Linked DNA regions of Oreochromis niloticus. The protein of the gene in region 1 binds, or shares a complex with, the protein of each later gene. Links are inferred from orthologs where the notes say so. Each region holds a gene or a part of one and is shown in the gene's direction. Other genes may lie near its edges.

What was found. Proteins that work in one complex are often made in the same cells at the same time.
Region 2: syntaxin-7 (region 1) and bet1l share a complex: the UniProt entries of both Homo sapiens proteins name them as parts of the SNARE complex. The link is inferred for Oreochromis niloticus from reciprocal best matches to the Homo sapiens genes STX7 and BET1L.

What each region holds. Positions count from the first base shown.
Region 1 is NC_031980.2:5,913,578-5,917,333, forward strand, and holds the start of syntaxin-7, read left to right. Parts: upstream 1-1,076; 5' UTR 1,077-1,190; intron 1,191-3,212; 5' UTR 3,213-3,313; intron 3,314-3,756. UniProt on the Homo sapiens protein: May be involved in protein trafficking from the plasma membrane to the early endosome (EE) as well as in homotypic fusion of endocytic organelles. Mediates the endocytic trafficking from early endosomes to late endosomes and lysosomes.
Region 2 is NC_031972.2:40,860,606-40,864,361, forward strand, and holds the start of bet1l (BET1-like protein), read left to right. Parts: upstream 1-947; 5' UTR 948-1,053; coding exon 1,054-1,072; intron 1,073-1,755; coding exon 1,756-1,841; intron 1,842-3,027; coding exon 3,028-3,084; intron 3,085-3,483; coding exon 3,484-3,651; 3' UTR 3,652-3,756. UniProt on the Homo sapiens protein: Vesicle SNARE required for targeting and fusion of retrograde transport vesicles with the Golgi complex. Required for the integrity of the Golgi complex.

The sequences.
Region 1 (3,756 bases):
TTAAGTAGCCAAAGATAACACTTTTTATCTGGAAAAACTCATCAAATTTACTTTCACATACACTCACTGAAGACTTCATTAGTTACACCTTGCTCACACTAAGTTGGGCCCCCTTTTTTCATCAGAACTGCCTTAATTATTTGTGTCACAGACTCAACAAGGTGCTGACCATAGCTTTAGTTTTATGTTCTTGGTTGATAGGAGTGGCATCCAGTGTGCTGCTGGAGCCCATCTGCTTCAAGGTTCAGTGGTTATTTGAATTACTGTTGCCTTACTATAATCTTGAAACAGTCTTTTTTCTCTTTTTTGGACCTTTCTTTGTAAACACTAGAGATGGCTGAGTGGGGAAATTCCTAAAAGAGCCAGACCAGCCCATCTGGCACCAACAACCAACACGTTCAAAGCCACTATAACCTTTCATCCCCATTCTGATCCTTGGTTTGAACTTCATTAGTTCATCTTGGCCTTGGCTATCTGCCTGTACATTTAGATATGGACTACATGTCTATGCATGTAGTTGCTGCCATGAGATTGGCTGATTAGAGAATTACCTTAATAATCAGTCAAACCATTGCACTTAACAAAGTGCAGTACAGTCCAGTGAGTCTGTACTGGATACAGAAGTTAAGAGTGTTATTGATTTGGTTAATCTGAGTGAACTTTGATGTGCTAATGCTGTCTGGTAAACAGAACATGTCTCGTAGCTTTATGTAACATCATAATGTGTTTTGTAAATGACCGCACTTTGCATGGACAATACAGCAAGGACGAAATTATAACTACAATTTTAAAAAGTTGAGGTGGTGTTAGGAAGTGAACTGTTAGGTAATACTATTTTAATCCAGATTCTGCATTATTCTGAAAGCAAAGCCCATTTTATATGTAAAGAAGGGTAGCAAATTAAAAAGAAATGTCTTTCAGCAATATGGTGGCATGTAAGTCTAAAGTAGCATATTATTAAAAAAATGTCCAGTACAAGCTTAAAGGAAACAATTTAACAAATGCACATATCAGCAAAACATTAAAACCAGTTGTTGCTATAAGTCGCCTTTGTGCTGCCCTTTAACTGCACACAAATGCTGTGTTGTAACCTCAAGCTGAGTGTTTTGTCATCTTGCTGTGGATGTGACATGTAAGGGATTGATCCAACTGAGGGACACTCACAGTATTGTGGTGATTTCTCAGACAAGGTAGGCCTACCTAGTAGGATATTCTATGTTGTTGTTCTTTTTGACTTTTGACATTTTGACTCTTTTTGGGAACTATTAGATAATATCATTACCAATGCGACTATTGGTATCGAATTGATACTAGCATGATAGAATCAATACTGTTCTATTATCTGAGTTCAGTATGCAGCTCACTGCCAATTTTTTAAATAGCCTATAGCACATTTAAACCACAGAAGGTGACCCAAAGCGCTTTAGAGACAGACACATTTACGTTACATCCATCATTTGTACACAGTTCATTTCTGGGCTATTAATGCATGAACATGGGTCCTTTGGTCTTGTGGGTGTGTCCACTGTGGATCTGGTCTATTCTGGCTCATTCGTGGATGTTCAGATTGAGATCTGAGGAGTTTGATTTATGCAAATTAGCTGTTCTTAGCAGTTTTTTGGGGTGGCAAGATGCACTGTCCTGCAATAGGAGGATGCTGCCATTGGAGGGTGCTAGAGAATTGTTTGGTGGATAGACACCTGTAAAAGTAACATTCACAAGGTTTTCCATGAAAACTCTGCATTGCGAAGAGATAATGAATGTATTCATTTCATCTGTCAGTTGTTTTATTGTTGTGGTTAATCAGTTATGACCCATGTTAGCTGCAGAACCCCCCCCCCCACCAAAGAGTTAATTAGGTCTCTCCGGGTCCCTCAACACCACATTCACTGGTGAGAAGGCCCAGCAGTCCATCTATTTTCTGTGGAAGGTGAGAAAAGTCCATCCATCCATCCTAACGACAATACAGGGTTGACTATTAAGAGTATCCCAAGCAGCTGCATAACTATCTGACATGGGAACGGTACAGTATCAGATCACAAAATCCTTGCAGTGAATAGTGAAAAGTGAAAACAGCTGAAAGAATCACCAGTTTCTTTCCCCACCTTCAAGGTCATATCCCACAAACTCTGTATTCACAAAGCCACCATCATTGTGTATGATCCCACACACACCTGACGCAAACCTTTTACTCTCCTGCCACCTCACAAGAGGTACCAGAACATCTAGGCCCTCAGTTCCAGTCAGTGCAACGGTTTCTTCCATTAGGCCTCAGAAAGCTCAGTACTCAGGGTCTGGACTGGAAACTCATGCACATAGAAGTGAACACCCTATGAATCAACTAGACTAGTAACATACATACACACTGAAGCAAATGGACACACTTTACACAATCATACTTAAATTGTTGTGTACATTTCTGCACACATAGTGCAATTAAATTTTACTTAATGCCAAATCAAAAGTAGCTTTATATTTTAAGGTAAAGAACCTACAATAACAGAGAGAAAACTGCTACAATCAAATGACCCTCTATGAGCAAGCAATTGGTGACAGTGGGAATAAAAAACTCCCATTTAACAGGAAGAAACCTCTGGCAGAACCAGGCTCAACAAGGGGAGGCCATCTGCAGTGACTAGCTGGGCATGATGGGAGGGAGACAGGCCAAAAGACACACTGTGGAAACCAACCAGCCAACTTTACCATGTAGAAAAACGGCATAGGTGTGATGTTGAAATTGCACTAATTGTTTCTTATATTAAAGGGGAATAAATGTGCTATTAAACGTCTTTACGTTCAGAGAAAGGGGGTTTTGTAAAGTTGGCTGTATGTGGCCCACGATGTAAAAGGAATGTATTCAATTCAATTTGAATTCAATTTATGAGGCCGATTCTGGGCCCCGAGCCTCATGTTTGACACCCAAGACCTAAACAGAATTATAATCCCTTTTACTTTTATGGCTCTTACACTAACTAGAAGCATTGATGTTGTCCAGTGTAAACTAGCATTTTTAAAACTGATTTGGACCCCTCACCTGCCCAGGAACCAGCATCTCACCTGGTAGCCTACAGTCGAAAAGTAACCAAGAATGAAAGATCATGAAATACCTAACCTGTACTGCGTCGTTGCTCTATTTTTAAGAAAAGGACAGTTTTTGTTTCCATACTTTTCTGGGCTCCATTATGTTACCGTTTGACACTTTTTATTAACAGCTGCGATCTCGCTGTGAGTGCAGCAGACATCATGTGATGGAGGAGTGGCCAACGGAAAAAATCAGGAAGCACATCGACGCAAGAAACAAGTCACGAGAAAGGTAAAGTTCAAACTTTTACGCAACTCAAGTAAACTTTTAGTCATTCTTGACAATTTCACTGACGTTTTAGACGACCAACGCATTTTTACGAGGCTGTTTCGTATTTTTAAGTTTGTTTGTTTTTTTGCAACGAAAAGCGACAAACATCTTCATACTGACTTCTCTTGTAACTTCATGACTCTTAAACCCGCTAATGTTAAAATGAAGAGCAGTGTACAGGTAACATTAGAACAGCGTTAACCCCAACAAACACAAGTAGGTCATAACTAAGTATTTGCACTTCATCCGTTCATGTTGATGGCATAAAAAAAAATACTCTGCTGATTTCCGCATTTTTTCCTTGTTGGCAAGGAGACAGAATCAGCCTCAGAACATGCACGTTAGTTTCATTAACCCTAATCACACTTTAATTTTTCATTAAAGCAAACGAGAAATATCCCGTC
Region 2 (3,756 bases), on another chromosome or scaffold:
ACAGTTTTCCAAAGTGATACCAGCAGTGCTTTTATTTTGTTAAACTGACAGTCTACAGCTCATAATGGTGAACAATAAATTAAATATTTATACATTTTCACATTTAGAGAAACTACAGTTACATAATTTGGGGTATTTTGCACGCGTTGCACCATAAAACAGTTAAAATACATTAATATTTTCTTTGTTTGGATGTAGTTTTGATCATGTTTATATTGCAAACATCTACGTTTTGTAAATGGAACACAGATAGTGTGAGACACAAGTAGTAGAATTTTAAAGTAACTACCCTGAGCAGGACAGAAAGAGCGACCTCTTGTGGATGAAATAGGCACTTCTGCAGATATCACTTCATAATTGTAACACTTAAACATCCACATGAGGATGGCCCTGCTTATATTATCGGAGCTACTGAGACCCTATCGTTGCAGATCACCTGGTCAAAGTCTGCTAAATGTCCCACGCTTTTACTTTAAAATCAGAGACGATCACGTTTTTGAGGCAATAGTGCCCAAACTTTGTAATAACCTTCAGCATTATGGTCACATTTTACCTGTTCTTACCTGATCAGCTGAATCCGTAATTTGTTTTAAACAACTGCCGAAAACATTTGTTATATATATTTTAGTGTTCTCTTAATGATTTCCCCATTATTCGGACCTTAGCTTGCATCTATTTGTGTGTAAGTTAAATATGTATGTTAGAATGGACGTCTGACCGGATGGTGTGTGGTGTCTAAAACCAGTGTTCTTTAAAAAGTGGTACACAAATAAAGTTATTATTGTTGATGTTATTGTTGTCGTCGGCGTTGTTGTTGTTTGTTCTTCCACTCTTCATTTATTCCCCTTTTTGTGTGGTATATGCTTAAAGTCTATGTTAAGGCATCAGTACTCAGCTAGTGTAATGCATTAACGGAAACAAGGCGAGAACTATTTTGGAGTCTTCTGTCGTCACTGAAGCTAATGACACCTTAACGCTGTCGACGAAGAAGAAAGGCGATCACGTGTCTGCCACGTGAACAGCTGATCGTGACGTCATTCACCAACAAGCAACATGGCGGAGTGGAACAGAGGTAAATGTTTTGACACGTATTCACTTCCAAATATTCAGTTGTGTGTTATTTGTGTCAGCTTAGAGATGATATTACAGCTGGGTGGTACATTTTAAAATGTTATTTTTGAGTATCGTTTGCTCGTATAATACCCAAATCTCAAGAGCTGAGTTTATAGGCTAACTAGCTCTGACATACTTAAAGATTAGCAAAAAGCAAGGCTACCTTGTAAGTTTCATATCAGTTGCTTTCGCCCACTAAAGAAGCATCTGCCTCTCTGAAGGGTGATAAAAAGTGATATTATTATCATTAGTATTATTATTATCATTATTATCTTATTAGTTTCCCAAATATGGGAGAACGAATACTCCTTGGCAGTGTTGTAAGTTTACTTCACGTCGTTATTCCGTGCTTAGCTTAAAGGGCTGGATATATAAAGAACATCCCTTCAGCAGAGACTCTGCACCACACTCCGATCATGCTGATATCAAAGTCATTGATGAAAAAGTGTTGCTTCCTGTTGATTTAAACCGAAAATTAGAAACATTATATATTCTTTAACAAGTTATGTGTTCAGAACTATGTGCATGGCAAAAACTGTATCTTCTGAGGTCTATCTGCGGTTTTCAACAGAAACATAACAATTCAAGGAACATTCAGATCTTGTGTGTCATATCTAATCCACGGTGTTTGTGCTTGTCCAGGCCATGGCTCTGTGGATGATGTGCTCGATGCTGAAAACAAACGGCTGGCAGAGAACCTGGCCAACAAAGTCTCCAGACTGAAATCTGTGCGTAACAACCAACAACCGTCCCCTTCAGCTACCAGTCTGATTAATAAATCAGCTGGTCTGTAGTTATTAGGTTACTGCTGTCAAATGTACTCAGTTTTAATTATAACTAAAGCTGTCAGTTCCAGGAATCAGAATTATTAATTATCCCAAACACAACCAGTTTTGTTATTTAATGTACTGATACATGGCTGATTGCTTGTAAGAATTTTAGCTGTAACCAAATGCATCACTGGTGTAATGGTTGTCTTTTATTAATAAATGTACAGTATTGTGGAAATGTGAAAATTGTACAACCAGTGCCTCCAGTGTAAGATGGGACACCATCAGGCACTTCTACATAGTTACATGATATTAAGATTTTCTTACACCAAGCTTCAGGCTCTTCCTGGTTCAGAACAATCCTCTGGGTATTCACTGTACACTAATGAAAACAACTTGTTTACATAGAGTCAAGGCAATTAGTCTGTCTACCATACATCTATAAAGATTACTGTTATTTCTTTAGACTGATTCAAAATTTCTATTTTGCTTAAATAAATGACTCATAATTGGTTTAAATCTTGTAGACATTGTCCCTGATTAAAACCTCTTTGGGGATCCAGAAAATATTTTATGCATGTTCACAGACTTTGACAAATGACTCGTGTCTGTTTTTAGCAAAGAGTTGTGTTTTAAATCCCTACAACGTCCTGTTTAGTTGGACATCTTCCAATCTGCACTTAAGCTGGTTAGGTACTAAGTGACAGAGCAACAGCCTAAAAGGATAACGGGTAACCAAGAAGATGTTTGCTTTCCTGTTCTACATTTTCCTCTGCTGTGCAATTCGCTTTTCAGAATCTGCTCTCATGTTCTTTCTTCTGCCTGTAATCTAACCCTGAGATGATGTAAAACTTCACTTGTTACAAATGATTGCTTATTAGTACATTTTTGCACAAGATTCCACATTTTAGGACATGATCAAAATAATCTAAAATAAAAAATAATAGTCCTTACAGGTTTCCAAATGGTTCAAATTCAGCCTCAGGTGAGCAAGAACATATGTCATTGGAATTAAGAGAGTAAGTAGCACCCGGGTGAAAGTGAGATGGCCTCCATAAAAGGAAACGTTTTGACAGTTTGCTGGTCTGCCGCAGTCAGACTTCTACAACTAACTTGATCATCTTCTTGTCTCTGTATCTCGCAGTTGGCTTACGACATCGACAGAGATGTGGACGATCAGAATGAGTACCTGGATGGCATGGTGAGCATTTCCTGCCTTAAACACAATTATAGTTAATCTTTTAGTAAAAAAGAACTGACATTTTAATTTCTCCCATTTGTCTATAAACAGAATATTGTTTTAAATATTCACTGATTTTCACCCTGTTCTATTTTCACGACAGCTCCTCTGAACTGTTTAGTGAAGTGTTTGACCATCGATCCACAGGTTTCACTGGGACCTAACATTCAGGAAAAATTTTATAGAGTCCCAGTATAAAAAATGAGCACTGTGTTGATTGTCAGAATCTGTGTGGATTGATACATTTGGTAAACAGAGTGCACATTATATAAGTACAAATTAATACTGTCGGCTGTTTTATTTTTTCTCTTAGGTTAATTTATTGTCAGTTATTAAAGAATTATCTCATCTTTCTTTTAGGACTCAAACTTCATGAGTGCGACAGGCCTGCTCACTGGCAGCGTGAAGCGTTTCTCCACCATGGTCCGATCAGGACGAGACAACCGCCGTATCCTGTGTTACGTCTCCATGGGGCTGGTCCTGGTCTTCTTTGTTCTTTACTACCTGGTATCCAAGATCCACCAATGACTGAGAAAACAAGATCAACCAGGCTCTGATATGGAGCTGAGACTTTAGACTGTAATGTCAAAACTGATTTAAATAAAGACTTTTTTTATTGTGCACCAAAGAAAG